2 linked regions of the Macaca fascicularis genome follow. The protein of the gene in region 1 interacts with the protein of each later gene in a pairwise test. Links are inferred from orthologs where the notes say so. Each region holds a gene or a part of one and is shown on either strand. Other genes may lie near its edges.

Evidence for each region.
Region 2: the proteins of CPT1B (region 1) and TEX44 interact in binary tests that used the Homo sapiens proteins (3 or more experiments, as listed by UniProt). The two-hybrid records come from large-scale screens. The link is inferred for Macaca fascicularis from reciprocal best matches to the Homo sapiens genes CPT1B and TEX44.

What each region holds. Positions count from the first base shown.
Region 1 is NC_088384.1:988,782-992,586, reverse strand, and holds part of CPT1B (carnitine O-palmitoyltransferase 1, muscle isoform), read right to left. Parts: intron 3,803-3,805; coding exon 3,617-3,802; intron 3,031-3,616; coding exon 2,925-3,030; intron 2,845-2,924; coding exon 2,728-2,844; intron 2,231-2,727; exon of another isoform or gene 2,148-2,230; coding exon 1,983-2,147; exon of another isoform or gene 1,871-1,982; intron 1,790-1,870; coding exon 1,655-1,789; intron 1,557-1,654; coding exon 1,404-1,556; intron 919-1,403; coding exon 805-918; intron 190-804; coding exon 97-189; intron 1-96. UniProt on the Homo sapiens protein: Catalyzes the transfer of the acyl group of long-chain fatty acid-CoA conjugates onto carnitine, an essential step for the mitochondrial uptake of long-chain fatty acids and their subsequent beta-oxidation in the mitochondrion.
Region 2 is NC_088386.1:127,507,735-127,512,008, reverse strand, and holds the start of TEX44 (testis-expressed protein 44), read right to left. Parts: upstream 2,887-4,274; 5' UTR 2,099-2,886; coding exon 860-2,098; 3' UTR 1-859.

The sequences.
Region 1 (3,805 bases):
AGGATGGTTTCGATCTCCTGACCTCGTGGTCCGCCCGTCTCGGCCTCCCAAAGTGCTGGGATTACAGGCTTGAGCCACCGCGCCCGGCCGACTCACCGTCTCTGAGCTTGAGAACTTGCTGGAGATGTGGAAGAAGATCGTGTTCTCACCCGCGATCATGTAGGAAACTCCATAGCCATCATCTGCTACCTAAGGGCAACACGAAGGGTGAAGGAGAAGGGCAGAACTCAAACCCTGAAGATCCGAAAACCAAGCTGATGTGGAACTTGTTCTTCCCACAAGAGTTGCAGGAACGGGCCCCAGCCCTAGACACTGCATTTTTCCTGAGGACCACCCCCAGGAAACCGTGAAAACCAAAGAATGCTGCCCAGACCCCACCAAGGGATCTAGGACCCCCCAGTTTCCCTCAGGGGGCCTATACTCTAGATCACGCTGCCTCTCTCCAGAGGGTTCTCTAGCCTTCTGACAAACTAGCCCACGAGAAGGCTTCTGTGGGAGACAGCTGCACTCTCTTGGATAAGCAGACTTCAGAAGCACCCAGTGCACTGCTCAGTACCCTGGAAACAGCCCCAGGCACCGTCATGCTCCAGCAGGGAGGTATTTGGGATGGGTGGGTCGCAGGCACCTGGCTGCCTGAGTCCACAGCTAACATTCTGCTTCTGTGCAGGTCTGGGGTTATGCTCTCCTCTAAGCAAGGCTCTAAGCAAGGTGCTCCTGCCTCTGGTCTGACCTCAGGGCCTGCACTCGCCACTGAAACCCTCAGGGCCCTGGTGTTGCCCACCCACCCCCTTCAGGGGCACTCACAGGGCCAAAGCCACCTCCAGCACCCAGGTGATTGGGGTGCTGCTCTGGGTCAAACATGCGGATCTGGGATTGGGGGATCTGGCTGGTGGAGAGACGCCAGGGTTCCGAGAGCACCTGCAATGGAGGCCGCAGCCGGTCAGATGCCACACGCCCAAAGCACCTGTCCGACAGGTGGTGTCTGCGACGTACTCTGAGCCAGGCACGGTTCTGCTGAGGGTGCAGGAGCTCCCTGGCCACCACCCCGTGGTCCCCTTTGCACATGCCACATAAGGCTTGTGTGAGCTGCCCGGCCCCCACTCTGCTCTGCCTCTCCCCGCCACAGCCTCACTAGTCTCAGTAGTGCTGTCACCACCTGACAGATCATACGTTTGTCTGTTCCCTGTCACAAGAACACCAACGACACGAAGAGGATGTTGCTCCCGCTGGGCCCAGGACCGCAGGCCCAGCTGGGGTGTGGGCAGGAAAGCTGGCCCAGCCCTCCAGGGAGCTTCAGGGGAGCCAGCCAGACAGAACACAGGCCGTGCTCCCTCATGAGATGGCCCAAGCCCTGGGTGTAGGAGGGCAGTGGGACAAAGGACACACCCAACAACGGTGCTGACCTCAGCGAGGAAAGGAGAGCTGACTCCCAGGTACTTGGAGACCAAGTAAAGGCAGAAGAGGTGCCTGTCGATCCCTGCCCCGGTCATGGCCAGGCGGTACATATTCTGGTGCTTCTTAGCAGCTTTCTGGAACAGATCTCGCAGGTCTGCTTTCTGTGGGGCAGAAGTAAAGGGGTGAAGAGTAGCCCTGACCCTCCAGGTAGACAGGAGGCAGACGACCGTGGCCCCCATGCGGGGCAGAGGACACTCACCGCGTGGGACTTCTCCACCATAGCCTGCACAAAGGCTGTGGACTCACTGGTACAGGAACGCACAGTCTCCGTCCGTCCCTCCCGGAACATTCTGGTCATTGAGGCCTCATAAGTCAGGCAGAACTTACCCCTGTCCTGGGATATACAGAGGGGTGAATCTGGCAGGCAGACCCTGGCACCGCCCTGCCCTCTCAGCAGCGGGAGGTGGGGCCCTACCCGGAAGTGCGCCAGCTGCAGTGCGCCCTGTCCTGGGATATACAGAGGGGTGAATCTGGCAGGCAGACCCTGGCACCGCCCTGCCCTCTCAGCAGCGGGAGTGGGGCCCTACCCGGAAGTGCGCCAGCTGCAGTGCAATCTGCACAAAGGCGTCGGGGCTGGTCCGGCACTTCTTGATGAGGCCTTTGCCAAAGGGCAGGAACTGGAAGCAGTACAGCTCCACATCGTCTGCCAGCGCCTTGGCCACCTGGTAGGAACTCTCGATGACCGCCTGGCACTGCCAAGACATGGGAAGGGTCAGCTGCAGGCAGGGCTCTCCAAGCAGGACTCTGGATCACATCCAGGAGGCATGAAGTTTAGCTGGTGGAAGAAGGGCACAGCCGGCCAAGACATGGGAAGGGTCAGCTGAGGGCAGGGCTCTCCAAGCAGGACTCTGGGTCACGTCTAGGAGGCATGACATTTAGCTGGTGGAGGAAGGGCACAGCTGGCCAAGACATCTTCAGGAGGAGGGTATGCAAAAGACAATCTGAGGGAGAATCAGCCCCCAGAGGCTGGGCTGAGCTTTGTGGGGAAGAGGGAAGTGCTGAAAATGCTCCAGGGGCCTGTGAGTGCCGCCCCCATCTCATGGCCTTCTCTAAACACAGATGGCCCCAGGGGCAGTGGGTGGTCTCTGTCCTCCCTGAAGCCAGTTTGGACTCTACGGGTATCCTGAGATGTGCCCTGTGCCTTCCCGAGGGCTGAGTCAGGCGGTGGGGCCAGCAGGGGAGGAGGAGGAGGAGGGGGACTCAGGCCTTGTTGGGGTTGTACCCGCCTGCTGCTTTGTGGTCTCACACCTGCTCTGGGAGCTTCCAACCCACCTGTTTTGGAATGTCCCACTGCAGCCGCGTAGGAGGTGGGAGCGCAGGGTTCGGTTTGCCCAGGCAGTGCCCAGTCTCCGTGTAGCCCAGGTGGAAGCTGTCTGTGCCCAGGACAAACTGCAGGGAGAGGATGAGGCTGAGAGGCCGGCCTCATCCCCTCCAGCCTGCCCTGCAGGTTCCCTCTGCAAGGCTATTACCTCCCAGAGGTGCCCAATGATGGGAGCATCTGCCCACGCATGCTCTGCATTGAGACCCAGCTGGCCATTCTTGAAGGAAATAAGAGTGAAGGATTTGTCAAACCACCTGCGGGGAGAGTAGACACATGAAGAACCAAAGCTGGGAATGTCCAGAGAAGCCTGACCTGCAACCCCAACCTTTAACCCTAACTCGGATGTTACCCTAACACTAACCCTAACACCAACCCTATTCTCTCTTCTCTCTCTCTCTCTTTTTTTAATTGAGATGGGGTCTTGCTCTGTTGCCCAGGCTGGAGTGCAGTGGTGTAATCTTGACTCCCTGTAACCACCCGGGTTCAAGGGATTCTCCTGCCTCAGCCTCCTGACTAGCTGGGATTACAGGTGCCTGCCACACGCCCGGCTTCTAACCCTACTCTCTAACCCAAACCCTAACCTTTAATCCTAACCACTATCCCTACCTAACCACTAATCACAATCCTAACTACTTTTAAGAAAGGGTCTTGCTACATTGCCCAGGCTGGTCTTGAGCTCCTGTGCTCAAGTGATCCACCTGCCTCGGCCTCCCAAATTGCTAGGATCACAGGTGTGTGCCACCGCACCCAGCTCACAACCTACCTTTTATCTTCAATCCTCTAACCATAACCCTAACCTTTAACCCTAAGCTGTGACCTGTGGGGCGGGGGCAGCCGCACCTGTTGTAGCAGTTGCCATGTAGCAGGGCCTTGCCATAGAGGCTGAGGCTGGCCTCGTCTTCGGGGTCATAGCGGTAGGACTCCTCATCCAGGGCCACGAAGAAAGCGGCACGCTCGATGGCCTCCAAGGCAGCCTTGTTCTTTCCAGAGCTAAAGAAGGCCTGGCGTGCCTGCGCCCACTCCACCCTG
Region 2 (4,274 bases), on another chromosome or scaffold:
ATGCATATCTTCACAGACAAGAGTAACCACCATGTAAAGAGACCTGGATCTAAGGTGAGCAACTCATCCTAGTTTTCCTGGGGTTTTCCAGTTTTAAATATGAAAGTCCTACAACCCAGAAACCCCCTTAGTCCGAGGCAAACCGGGACAGTCGGTTTGCTTAGACTCCTGCTCCCCCTGCACCCCCAGCTCATCGGAGGATAATGATAATGGCAGCCACCATGTGTGGGCTTATCAAGTGCCAGACACCATGCATTATGGCCTGCATCGCTTCCCTTCTGTCTTATAACAGCGTCACGGTATGGATTTATTCTCTCCTTTCTACAGCTAAGTAGGCTGAGAGTGACGTGATTCGCCCAGAGCAAGTGCTGGTGCTGGGGTTTGAACCCACATGGCTTGACTCAGCACTGTCAATGGTACAGCCTCTTGTGCCTCTCAGCCTGAGCCTGCTGGGCCAGCCTAGGCCCCAGGGAAGGCTCCTCAGAGCTTACCTGGGTGGAGGTTCAGTGGGGATGGGTTTTTGCAGGTCTGAGATACCCCCTACCACACTGCCCCCAGCTCTGCCCAGGCTCTTCTGTGTCTGCACATTTGCCCCCAGCCCCTGAATGGGACAGCCTGAGAAACCCTCAGGAGACATTGTTTCCACCACACCCTGAGCCCTCCTGTCCTGTCACTGTTTTGTTGCTCACTGCATCCCAAGGGAGGAGGCTGGTGCTTAGAAATAAACGCTCGCTGGTGATTTATTGCATGGGCTGGGGGAACCGTCCAGAGCAAGAATGGGCAAGGGAGCAGGGTGTGAGGGTCCCAGGGATCTCTGGAGGTCACTGAGCCAGGGCTTCGGGGGTCCCTGTGCAGGGATCTAATCATAGTTGGGGTCAGCCTGGAACCGGCGTGGGGTGAGGTGGCTGGTCAGGTAGCGCACGGCCGAGCGGATGCCCTCCACCGTCCTCTGCTCCACTGTCTCCAGCACATGGGTGAGGGTGCGCAGGGCTGAGCCAGTCCCTGACATCAGCCCGGAGGAGAAGGCTGAGCTGACGCTTCCCAGCAGGCTGGGGACCGGGCGCAATCTGGGCCCCGAGCTGTGCAGCAGATCTGCCACGGTGCTGTGGCCGGAGTCCAGGAAGCCTGTGGCTATGGCCATGCCCATGGTGGTCTCGGACCACACCAGGATGTCTGCCAGGGAGCTGATGGAGCCCTCGCCCCTGCCCAGCAGACTGGTCATGGAGCACATGTAGCCATTCTCCTCACTGGCCATGTACAGGCTGGGGTCCAGGGGCCTCCTCCCCAGGGCCACCTCGTGGGGGCCAGGTGATGGGGACACACTGCCTGCTGGAGGTGGAGGGAAGAACCAAGCCTGCAGGTCTCCTAAGCCATCCACCACATTTGCCCCCATTGCCACTGGGGACTCATCAGATGGCAAAGCTTCAGCTTCAGGGTATGGGGCCTTTGGATGCTCAGCTTTCTCCTCAGCAGCCTTGGTGGTGCTGGCAGCCTGAGGGCCATGCTGGCCATTGACACCTGCGGTGACGTGGTCAGCATCACTCCCGACGGGCTGAGCCTCCGTGTGCTGGGTGAACTGTGGCTCGGCACTGGGGGCCAAGGGGGCTGACTCCGGCTCTCTCTCAGGAACACTCGCCATTTGTGACGTCTTGTCCTTACCCAAGAGGTGACTTGGGAAAACCACTAGACTCTGACTTGTCCTTGTGTCTTGAACCTGCCTGTCCCACGTTGGATTCTCAAGGCTCATAGATGTTTGCAGGGGACTTGGGTTTTGGCTGGGAAGCAGAGGTGTGATTTTTCCAGGTGTCTTCTGGCCATGTTCTGGAACAACTGCACCCTTGTCTTTGTCTCCAGATGTTGACATGGCCTCGGGGGTGGCCGTCTTGAGGGAGGCCTGATCTATATCCTGCTGGTCGGTGGATGCGGCAGAGCTGCTCACCGCCAAGACATCTGTTGTGAGTGGGACCTGACCTTGGGGCCCTCCTGCTGTGCTGTCCTTAGACACGCTGTCAGCCACGCTGCCCAGGGGGGACCCGGGAGTGCCATGTGTGGGGCTGCTGGTGGAGCCGGCCTCTCCCGAGGGCTCTCCTGGGGTCATCTATGCCCTTTGCTATTTGTGGCAGTTGGAGGGAGTGGCTGCAACCCAGCTGGGCTGAGTTGTCCAAGTGGTGAGGTCACAAGGGACTGTGGCCACTGGTGATGTCACAGGTACCCGTAGAGCAAGGGTCTTGAGCTTCTGGAGCAGCCTTCCAGGTGGGCTAAGTCTACGGGACAGTTTGTTGCCAACTTTGCCGGTACATAGGGAAAAAATGACAAATGTTCTGGAAAGGGCTGGAGGCTTGTGTACAGGGGCAAGTACAGCCACAGGGCCACAGGAGTGAGAGTTGTGACTTTGACAAATGAGAAGGGATGCAGATGTTGATTTAGAACAGTGTTTATAAGGGACCCCTCCCGGCACCTCTCTGTCTATACTGGTGTCTCAAGACCCCAATTTAGGCTGGACATGGTGGCTCACTCCTGTAATCCCAGCACTCTGGGAGGCTGAGGTCGGGGAATCACCTGAGGTCAGGAGTTCGATACACCTACTTGTGCTTAGCTAGGCACAGTGGCTCACGCTGTAATAACAGCACTTTGGGAGTCTGAGGCGGGCGGATCATCTGAGGTTAGGAGTTCCAGACTAGCCTGACCACATGGAGAAACCCCGTCTCTACTAACAATACAAAATTAGCCGGGCGTGGTGGTGTGTGCCTGTAATCCCAGCTACTTGGGAGGCTGAGGCAGGAGAATCGCTTGAACCCGGGAAGCAGAGGTTGTGGTGAGGCGAGGTCGCACCATTGCACTCCAGCCTGGGCAACAAGGGCGAAACTCCATCTCAAAAAAAAAAAAAAAAAACCTATATTAGGAAGATGGTTGGAGAGGAAGACTCAGTCTGTTGTGTGTGTGCTTCTCCAGGGGTTATTGGTTAACATTTAGTGACAGCTTATGGGCAGGAAAAGGCGCGTAGCATCCTTCCCATCATCCGTCAACTCTGGGTAGGTACCGTTCTACTAGTATACCAGTTTACACACAGGCACGCTGAGCCTCACAGAGAATAAGTGACTTACTCAAAGCCACACTACTAATAAGAGCTGAATCTGGGATTTGAACCCTGTCTGGCTTCAATACTAAGCTTTCCAGCACTCTCTCTTACCCAGGAGGCATATTAAAAATGTTCAATGAGGGGCTGGGCATGGTGGCTCATACCTGTAACCCAGAACTTTGGAAGGCCAAGGTGGGAGGATTGCTCGAGCCCCGGAGTTCAAGACCAGCCTGGGCAAAGTAGTATGACCCTGTCTGTACAAAAAAAAAACAAAAATTAGCTGGGCATGGTGGTGCATACCTGTAGTCCCAGCTACCGGGAAGGCTGAGACCCAGGAGGAGGATTTCTTGAGCTCAAGAGTTCAAGGCTACAGTGGGCTATGATCACATCATTGCATCCCAGCCCAGGTGACGGAGCGAGATCCTGTGCCTTAAAAAAGAAAAAAGACATATCTAATGACTGGCATGGTAATGATGCTGGCTGACGCAGGCAGAGGCCTCCCATTAGAACCGGTTCCACCACACCAGCAGGTGACAGCTGCTGTCAGCGCTGAGCTGTACCATCAGCAGCATGGTCATACGTGTATGGAAAATTCCCCTCCCTGAAACTCTCTGCCCTTGTCCTCTCTCCTGCTGCCTCTCCTGGCTGGCTCCCTCCGTCCTCCACTGCTCTGGGATCAGGCCTTCCCTTCAGACTCCTTTTACTGACTCAGCCCAGCCGGCCTCCACCTTAACCCTCTGAGGCTGGCTGCACTTCTGACACCAGGCTCCTCGCTCACTGAGTGTTTATTTTCACCGCAGATACCCTGCCGCCACCTCAGAGGTCACAGGGCAAACCCAGGCTTGTTGGAGTGTGAGGGGCCAATGAGTACAGCCTGTAGCTTGTGAAGGAGTCCTAGAGAGAATGATGGCTGCCCATCCCAGATGACCTTCTTCCTTAGTGTCAGACAATTGCTAAATAGAAATTATAGGAGGCTACTGCTTCGGATGAGGCTCCTGCACCAGGCCCCAGCAGACTGGACTAAACGTCAAGGTGGGGTCACTCACACTGAGGTTCCAAATCACCGGGAGACAGAGATGATTGCCAGTTTCCCAAATGGGCCAGTTTCTTTTTTTGAGATAGAGTCTTGCTCTGTTGCCTAGGTTGGAGTGCAGTGGCGTAATCTCGGCTCACTGCAACCTCTGCCTCCCGGGTT